Linked DNA regions of Rhinolophus ferrumequinum. The protein of the gene in region 2 binds, or shares a complex with, the protein of the main gene of each other region. Links are inferred from orthologs where the notes say so. Each region holds a gene or a part of one and is shown on either strand. Other genes may lie near its edges.

What was found.
Region 1: the proteins of RAB1B (region 2) and TBC1D20 are in contact, whole or in part, in a crystal structure (PDB 4HLQ), measured with the Homo sapiens proteins. The link is inferred for Rhinolophus ferrumequinum from reciprocal best matches to the Homo sapiens genes RAB1B and TBC1D20. Residues at the interface, in NP_112243.1 of Homo sapiens: Ser17, Gly18, Ser36, Tyr37, Ile38, Ser39, Thr40, Ile41, Gly42, Val43, Asp44, Phe45, Gln60, Trp62, Ala65, Gly66, Gln67, Arg69, Phe70, Thr72, Ile73, Tyr77, Glu94; in NP_653229.1 of Homo sapiens: Gln97, Gln98, Leu101, Asp102, Arg104, Arg105, Leu107, Arg108, His141, Tyr142, Tyr143, Gln144, Gly145, His147, Asp148, Phe177, Met178, Asp179, Pro180, Thr181, Met182, Lys186, Val212, Ile215, Leu218, Ser219, Thr223, His227, Met272, Ala273.

Annotation. Positions count from the first base shown.
Region 1 is NC_046306.1:23,384,586-23,388,492, reverse strand, and holds the start of TBC1D20 (TBC1 domain family member 20), read left to right. Parts: upstream 1-1,180; 5' UTR 1,181-1,356; coding exon 1,357-1,426; intron 1,427-1,640; exon of another isoform or gene 1,641-1,869; intron 1,870-3,907. UniProt on the Homo sapiens protein: GTPase-activating protein (GAP) specific for Rab1 and Rab2 small GTPase families for which it can accelerate the intrinsic GTP hydrolysis rate by more than five orders of magnitude. Also shows GAP activity for RAB18 GTPase.
Region 2 is NC_046294.1:5,650,164-5,654,070, forward strand, and holds the start of RAB1B (ras-related protein Rab-1B), read right to left. Parts: upstream 2,595-3,907; 5' UTR 2,466-2,594; coding exon 2,452-2,465; intron 793-2,451; coding exon 720-792; intron 431-719; coding exon 335-430; intron 222-334; coding exon 126-221; intron 1-125. UniProt on the Homo sapiens protein: The small GTPases Rab are key regulators of intracellular membrane trafficking, from the formation of transport vesicles to their fusion with membranes.

The DNA.
Region 1 (3,907 bases), on a different chromosome or scaffold from region 2:
TGATGTTTAAAAGTTCATGACAACATATTTATAAGTTTATTTCATTTACAGGAATTACATAAGGACTCAAGGCTTTGTTAGAAAATTGTGGTATTTAAAGAAGGAAAGTGAATTATTAAATTTATAAATGCAGTTTCAAATCTTCAGTTCCTTTGAATCTTCAAAGGAATTTAATTAACCAATTTTATTAATGGGACCAAAGTCCCATTAATAAGTGACTGTTATAATTTACTAGATTTATGAATGGAGTTGTAAAATTTGTCAGTTGGAATTAAGAAATAACTTTGGGATTTCTAATTTTAATAAATTGAATATTAGTTTTAAAAATCAAATTATCTTCAGAGTGATCTTTTTTGCTCATGAAAGATACCCAGAGGACCTTTTAAAAAAAAAAAAAGTTACAATATAATGCTAGACCATGGAACCTGGATTGAACAGGATGGGCATGAAACCAAGGGGAGCCAGTAGTAATGGGTTGTGTGCATTGCAGATTTCGGAGAATAAAGAACTGTTATGGTAGGGGTCATCCAGCAACCATTATCATGGGAACTTTGAGTGGGGGGAGGTGATGCATTGGAGATTTGTAAAGTGGGGTAGTTTCTGGCAATGACAATAGGGGTGTGTGTGACCGAGGGAATGGGTGGCCAATTGGAGAGAAAGGGCTGTCGCTGGAGACGAGAAGATGGTCAAAGACCTCAGCCAGATTCTCATTTTGGAGGCGTGGCCAGTTTTGTACAACTCAAAGGGGATCACTGCTCTCGTAATCATCTATATGAAGGGCGCCTCCCGGCGTGGGGCAGTGCACAGCCTGCGGAGCCGTGTACGGAGGTTCTGATAAAACCCCGAAGTAGACAGGAGTACGTGTGGGAAGGAGAGACGGGAGGTATAATCCCTGGCAAGCAAAAATAATAGCTCATAATTATGGCGTAGTTACTATCTGCTTGGTAGTATTCTACGCACTTTCCCAATAACTGAGTTCAGCACTTTTATTATCATCAGTATCATTATACAAATAAAAGCAAAAGCAATGACAACATCTGGTCCTGAACACACTTGTTCAAGAGCGCCACGCTCCACAGCTCAGATGGAAGTCTCCTGGCGCGCTCCCTGCGCCCTTCCTCAGCTTACCGCGCCTGCACGCGTGCTCCGGAGACCGCCGCCCGCCCCAGCGTAGCGAACGGTCACGTGTCGGCACCGGGCTGGGGCCCGCGCGGGGATGCCTACGCGCCTGCGCACCGCGGGCGACCGAGCGGAGCCTGCCCCGCGGAGCGGGCGGTGGGTCCCGCGGCCACAGCCGCGTCTTCTGGAGGCTCCGCCACCAGCCGGAGCTCGGGCCCGAGTCCGGGCCCCCGGGACATGGCCTCCCGGAGGGCGCAGGGCGACGGCCTCACTTCCAGCCGCTGGGACGGCAACACGGAGAAGGCAGGTACGGAAGCCGGCCGGGGCGCGGAGGAGTGGCTTGCGAGGACGGCCTGAGGGGCAAAGGCGGCCGAGGGGCAGGGGACAGCTGTCGGAGGAGAGGGCCCGTGCGCAGGCGGCGCCTGAGGGGCCGCCGGCTGAGGGGGCCCGGCGGCGACTGCGCAGGGTGCGCCCCGGGCCGCGGGCGGGGTCGGGACGGCGGGAGAGGAAAAGGCTGGAGGAGAGGAGAGCCTGGAATCGGGGGGTCAGCGGGTGATGAGACCGGAAGAAACCGGGGGGCAGAACCGCGTCCCCAGTGAAACGGACAGGGTGGGGGGACTCTGCTTTCGGCCTCGTCTCGCCTGAAACGGAGCATCGGGTCCCTCCGAGAACTCAGGCCAAGCCTCAGCCGGGGCCTGAAACTGTCCGGCCACGTCCGCAGACTCCTGGTGGCGCCTCCCTAGTTGTAAGGCAGGTTTCCCAAACTTCATTCATCTGTCGCCGGCTTCATTTACGCGGTGTGCATGCCCACCTATTTCTTTTAATTACCATAACATACACCCCTTTCAAGTGTACGGCTCAGTGGTTCTTAGGACTTTCACACGGTCGTCCAACCATCACCGCTGTCTAGGTCCACAGTGATAATTCGGGGGGGAAGAAAAAAAAGGCTGTTACCTCCCATTCCCCAGTCTCCACCGCTCCTGGCAGCCACTCATCTACTTTCTGTATCATGCCTGTCCCACCTATTGTAATGTTATTTGATTGTGTAAAAAGCGATTTTCTATTTTTTAATACCGTTTCATCTAAGCAATAATTTGTGTGAAATCATGGTTTTGCTGTGCACTGTATTTTCAACTATATTTTACATATAATTAAGACATGACAGTTCAAGTTATTGTTTACTCCGTACCAAGTAAAACAATCTGTTTTTCCTCTGGAGAAGACTAACGGAGCTTTCCCACCTTTCCCTCCTCTAATGGGTGGTGCCCAGAATAGAACCAGCAACATATTCAACCCATAAGTTTCGATGCAGCATCCATTCACATCTTGTTTCTCTGGTCTCATTTTCTTTTATCCTCTTTTTCTCCTATTCTAGTCCTGGATGGAAGTGGAGCTCACTCATATTACTTCTCTGGGCCCTTTGGCCTTGTAACCCTTTGCTGGTGTTTGTATGACATCTGTCCTGGTGGCATAATAGTGTCCCAGGTGGTATGGGTCCTTTGACCTGTTGTAAGTGCAACTGTGCCTAAGTTAAGAGACTTCACCCCCCACCTAGTTTCCTTGACTTTGCTTCTCTGAATGGATTTAGAAAACGGTTTTTGTTGTTGTTTTGTTTTTTCCTGTTTGTTTTTAATCATATTCGCAAGTTATTAATACTAGAAGCTCTCCTTTGTAGAGTTTATGATCAGATTGATTTACTCTGTAGAATATTTTTCTCCGTTTTGGGGGTAAAGCTGTCTTAGCACATACTTGTCTTTATGTTTCCAGTAGTTAATGAATCTGCTAGTTCCAGTACTGTTTGTTGAAACTAAATAGAACCTTCAAAAACAGAGGCTACTTTGTTTTATTTTGTTTTTAATAGGAGCCTTAGAAAAAGGTAAGGTTTCCCTCTCCCATTGTCTTTCCAGTACAGATATGAAGTTCAAGCATAAAATTTTAAGTTAATTTCCAATGTCAACTTCAGGAGTTCATAGGGGTGGGATAGGAGATCTCTCTCGCACGTTCTCTCCCTCTCTGACTAGTTCTTCCATTGTTTTGATTAAGACTAGCATTGCTTAGTTTGAGTTTAATGTCTATTGACTGCAAAGCTTTCTTGATAGGCAAGATTAAACCAAATAATTGGTATGGAATTTTGTATTCTCACATAAGATTCCATTATTAAGTATATGGATCTTCTTAGCTGATGTAAGTCACTAATATGTATTTTGGAAAAATACGTAAGGAAAAACTTTTAGAGGAAGCATAGCTAGTGTTGATCTTTAGTCATTGTTCTTTCCCTATATGTTTAGTTCCCCAAGCAGGTGCTTTCAGAGATACCTGTTGTTCTGAGGAGGCAGAAATCTTTACCTTGCTTCTGTAGCCAGAATTGGGGAAGGTTTGCGACAATAATGGGCTGAACCATCATTATCTGAGCCGTTCAAGAATTGCTTCAGTGCCTCTTATTAAAATGATCATTTTAATGGTGAGCTAGCCAAGCAGTATCTATATCATTTCTTTTTCCTTTGTTGAATGAATTGCTTTTTCAGGCATCAGGGATTTACTTACAGCAGTGTCTTGTATTTTGCAGCCAACTGTAGGATAGTCATTTCATTCTGTCACAGTTATGATAGCCCAGACCTTTTACTGTAAAGGAATTTGGAAGATATCAACTTTGGAATATGTAAAACCTCTCATATAAGTCGGGCAAAAAGAAATTGGAGAAGAAAGGATTCAGGGATTTGTATTATCACATATATGCTACCTCCCGATGAAATGTGGGCTTTTTTTTTTTTTTCTTAAGATTTTATTG
Region 2 (3,907 bases):
ACAAGTCCGAGTCCAATCTCCTTTCTAGGCCGCATTCGGAAGAGAGGACGGGAAGAGGAAAAAGAAGCGAGAGCCAAAGACCCAAGGCTGCGGGGGCAAAGCTGGGGAAGGGGAGCCAGGAGTACCTGGTCGGTGACGTCATACACCACAATGATACCGTGCGCCCCCCGGTAGTAGCTGGAAGTAATGGTCCGGAACCGCTCCTGACCAGCTGTGTCCCACTACGAGACAGGGGCAGAGAAGGGCAGGTCAGCCCTGGGCTCCATGCCCAGAGCCCCTCCCCGCTCAAGGTGGATGCCTCTGCACCAGGAATGCTGGGAAGCGCGACACTCACGATCTGAAGTTTGATGGTTTTGCCATCTAGCTCAATGGTTCGGATCTTGAAGTCCACCCCAATGGTGCTGATGTAGCTCTCTGTGTACGTGTCATCCTGGAAGACCGGGGGCCAGGGAAATGGCCTGAGTGAACAGGCTTGAGGCCCAGCTGGAACACTTCCCTCAAGTGTCCTGCTCCAGCAAAGCTCCTAACTACTGAGCCCCAGGTCTCAGCACCTAACTGGCCAGCCAGGTGCCCTTGTTCAGTCAGTTACGGTGCCGGCAGGTCCTGCAACTTCATCCTTGGTCCCCAGTTCTTGCTACTACCGGGCTCTGGGTTGCCCCCTCTCCCTCCAGCCACCAGCCAGGACCCCAGATGGATAGTATGGGAGGCTTCTTACTCACAGCAAACCGCAGGAGCAGGCATGACTTGCCCACGCCCGAGTCACCAATCAAAAGCAGCTTGAACAGGTAGTCACTGGAGAGAAAGGACGGGAAAGTGTGAAGGAAGGCAGGGAGCCCTCCCACCATCATCCTGGAGTCCCAGTGATGGCACTCGCCAGGCACATTAGGGGTGCCTGGGTTTACGGTACGCACGCAATCACAAGATCCCCCCACAAGTCTTTGGAGGAGCAAGTTGACCACTCCCAAAAGGCCTGATGATGAATCCCCACTTTACAGAGAAGGAAACTGAGGCACAGAAAGGGACATGACTGGCTGAGGATCACAGTGAGCTAGGAGGCAGTGCTGGGTATCGTACCCATTCCTGACAGGCATCACGGTTTCGGGCCCGGTAGGAGCTGTGTAGGGAACCCATCCTACTACACTGCCCTGGGGCGTACCGGCCTTGGCAGGGGAAGCCCCAGAAGTGGGAGTCAGGGCCCGGCCTAGAACTTATTACATGATCATCTATGTAAAGAGCCTGGTAGGGAACCTCTAAGAAGAGGTGGTTAACAAATGGCAATCACTTAAAATGTACTGCATTCCTACTTGTGCCCGACCCAGTGCTAAATACTTCAATGCATCATCTCATTTAAGCCTCACAACAGTCCAATGAAATGGGTGTTGTTATTCCCAACAAATAAGGAAACCAGAGGTCAGAGAAAGGAAGTGACTTGCCCTAAGTTTACCCAGCGTCTAACTTTAAGACTGGAAACCAGGTTCAGACTCCCAAGTCTCTGTGAGAGTCTGTCAGTTCCCTTCTCTGTTCCCCCTTAGAATCCAGCTCAGAGCTTCACCCTTCCCCAAGGAAATCTGAGGCCTGGAGGAAGAAGAGGAAGAGGAAGAGGAGCAGGATGATAACGGGGCACTTGGGAAAAACTGTCAATGGGAAGTCTTGGGCAGAGATGTGGGCCACCTACCCATAGGGGGAGTGACCAAGAAGTGAGGAGAGGAACAGAGAATCCCACTGGAACGGGGTAAGCAAATGCCTCGATTCATCTAAACTTCATCAGCACTATGACAGCAAAGGGAAGGGGTGTGACGGTGGCGCTGGGGGCCTGAGCAAAGGTGAACAGAGGACGGGAAGGGGCCCACGGCGGACAACTTGATCCAGGCAAGGGGCAAAGCGGCAGCCCAGGAGGGGAGGACCTGCGGGCGAGCTACACAGAGCGGCGCCTCGGGGCCTCCCGCGTCTAACCAGCCCCTGGGTTACCCCCAGGAACCGGATTCCGGGAGAACCGGGAAGAACTGAAAGATTTACGGCACGACCTAAAGGGCCCAAGTCTGGACTGAGATCAGGAACTATGTGGTGACGGGCTTCATAAAGCTGAGACCATTGTCAGCACCCAGACCACCACTCTCAACCAGCAAGTGGGGAAACTGAGACCTGGAGAGACCGGGGCTGAGGGGTCACCTGACCAATAAGGCCTGGCAAGGTCGGCGCCTCGGGCTCCAAGTGGCGCCCCTCAGGGTCGCAGTCTCTGGGTCCAGCGTTCAAGATCTCGGGGTGTGGAGCTGGGGTCCTGGGGACCCCGGGGGAGGGGCAGGACCCGGATGTGGGGGGGGGTCAGAGGAAGAGGGACCCGGATGTGGGGGCGCCGCGCAGTCCTGACCCGGGCCGGACAACCCCGATAAGCGTACAGCCCGGTACTCGGAATCGAGGCTGCGCCGCACGGCGCGGGCGGGGCTCACTCACTATTCGGGGTTCATGGCGGCAGCGGCGGCCCGCTCGGTCGCTCCTAGTCGGCTCTGCTCCGCCTCCCGTTCCAAGATGGTGGCCGCTCCGCCCCAGAAGCCCCGCCCGCAACGCGCAGGCGCAAACGTACTCGACTGGGGCCTCGCTGCTTAGCTTCTCGGAACTTGTAGTCTCCTCACATTGCCAAACACACCCGGGCTGCGCATGCGCAAATCGAAGAGCCCGAAGCTCGGAGAACCCACTCCCCATCATCGCCGCGCATTGCTTTCTGGGGCTTGTAGTTCGCTCCCTAGACGTACCTGGGCTTGAGAACTGCGCTCTGGAACCTGACGGCGCACCCACGTTGGGACCTCAATTTAGGGCCGGGGTTGATACGTTTCACATCTGACAGAGGTAGTTATCCCTACCCTCCCAACACTGAGTTATGAACATTAGTAAAAGTTCATTTATCCAGGGTGCTGGCGTTCCTAACAGCCAGAAGCCCCAGGTGTCATCATACATTTTAAAGTATATGAAAAAATCGAGTCGGTAACTCGCTCAAGGTCAGCTTAGTGAGGGACAGAGCTCAAAGCCTGCGCAGTCTATAGAACCTGAGATGAAGCTTATTAGGTCCTGAACCTGTGGGGCCCCCTAACAATTCCGGGTTGGGAGTATCTGGGCTCCAGTTGCGAGGGACAGGACGTGGACACACAACACACACACACACACACACCCCACTCGCAGCCTTTCCGACCCCACCCCCAAACTAGAGACGCTGGGAACCCTTGGCCTCAGCCCCAAAACAAGCCTGGCTCAGATTCAAACCGTCTTTATTTCTACAGCATTTGAAAATAGAGAGCGACCACCTTACCCCCCAACTTGGGCAGCCCCTCCTATCACGGGGTGGGGCATCACTGCCCCTCGCGAGAAGCTGCAGGCGTGGGAGGTGTGGCTGGATGGCACCACGGGCAGTGCCCGGGGCGGGATCAGGCCGTGCCTGGGCGGGGTCGGGTGGGAGGGGCAGTGCATAAGGCCGGGATGCAGGGCAGGGCCCGGCGGTAAGGAGACGGGCAGGGGAGGGCTCTCCGTCCTGGGGCACAGGACAGTGGTGGGGCTGGGAGCACCCCTCAGAGGCCGGGAGGAGCGCGAGAAAGCCCAGGGAACCCTTTGGGAAGGCCCCCCCCAAGATGTGTTGTGGAGCCTGGGAGATACCACCGCGCGGAATAGGGGTGATTAAGGCCTGGGCGGTACCACTAGAGAAGGGCAGGGAGGGGAGACCCGGGCGGTACAGTCGACTGAGGGGAGGGGCGCGGCCAATAACTTATTTCTCTATATACAGAAGCAACGGCCGGGAAGGACAGGGGTGTGGACAGGATGGCAGGTGCTTAGTGTTCTTGGCTCCGGGGTCTGGGGAGGGCGGGCCACTGAGTCTCTACCTGGAAGACCCCGGCCAGCCCCTCGCGCTGGCCCTGAACCT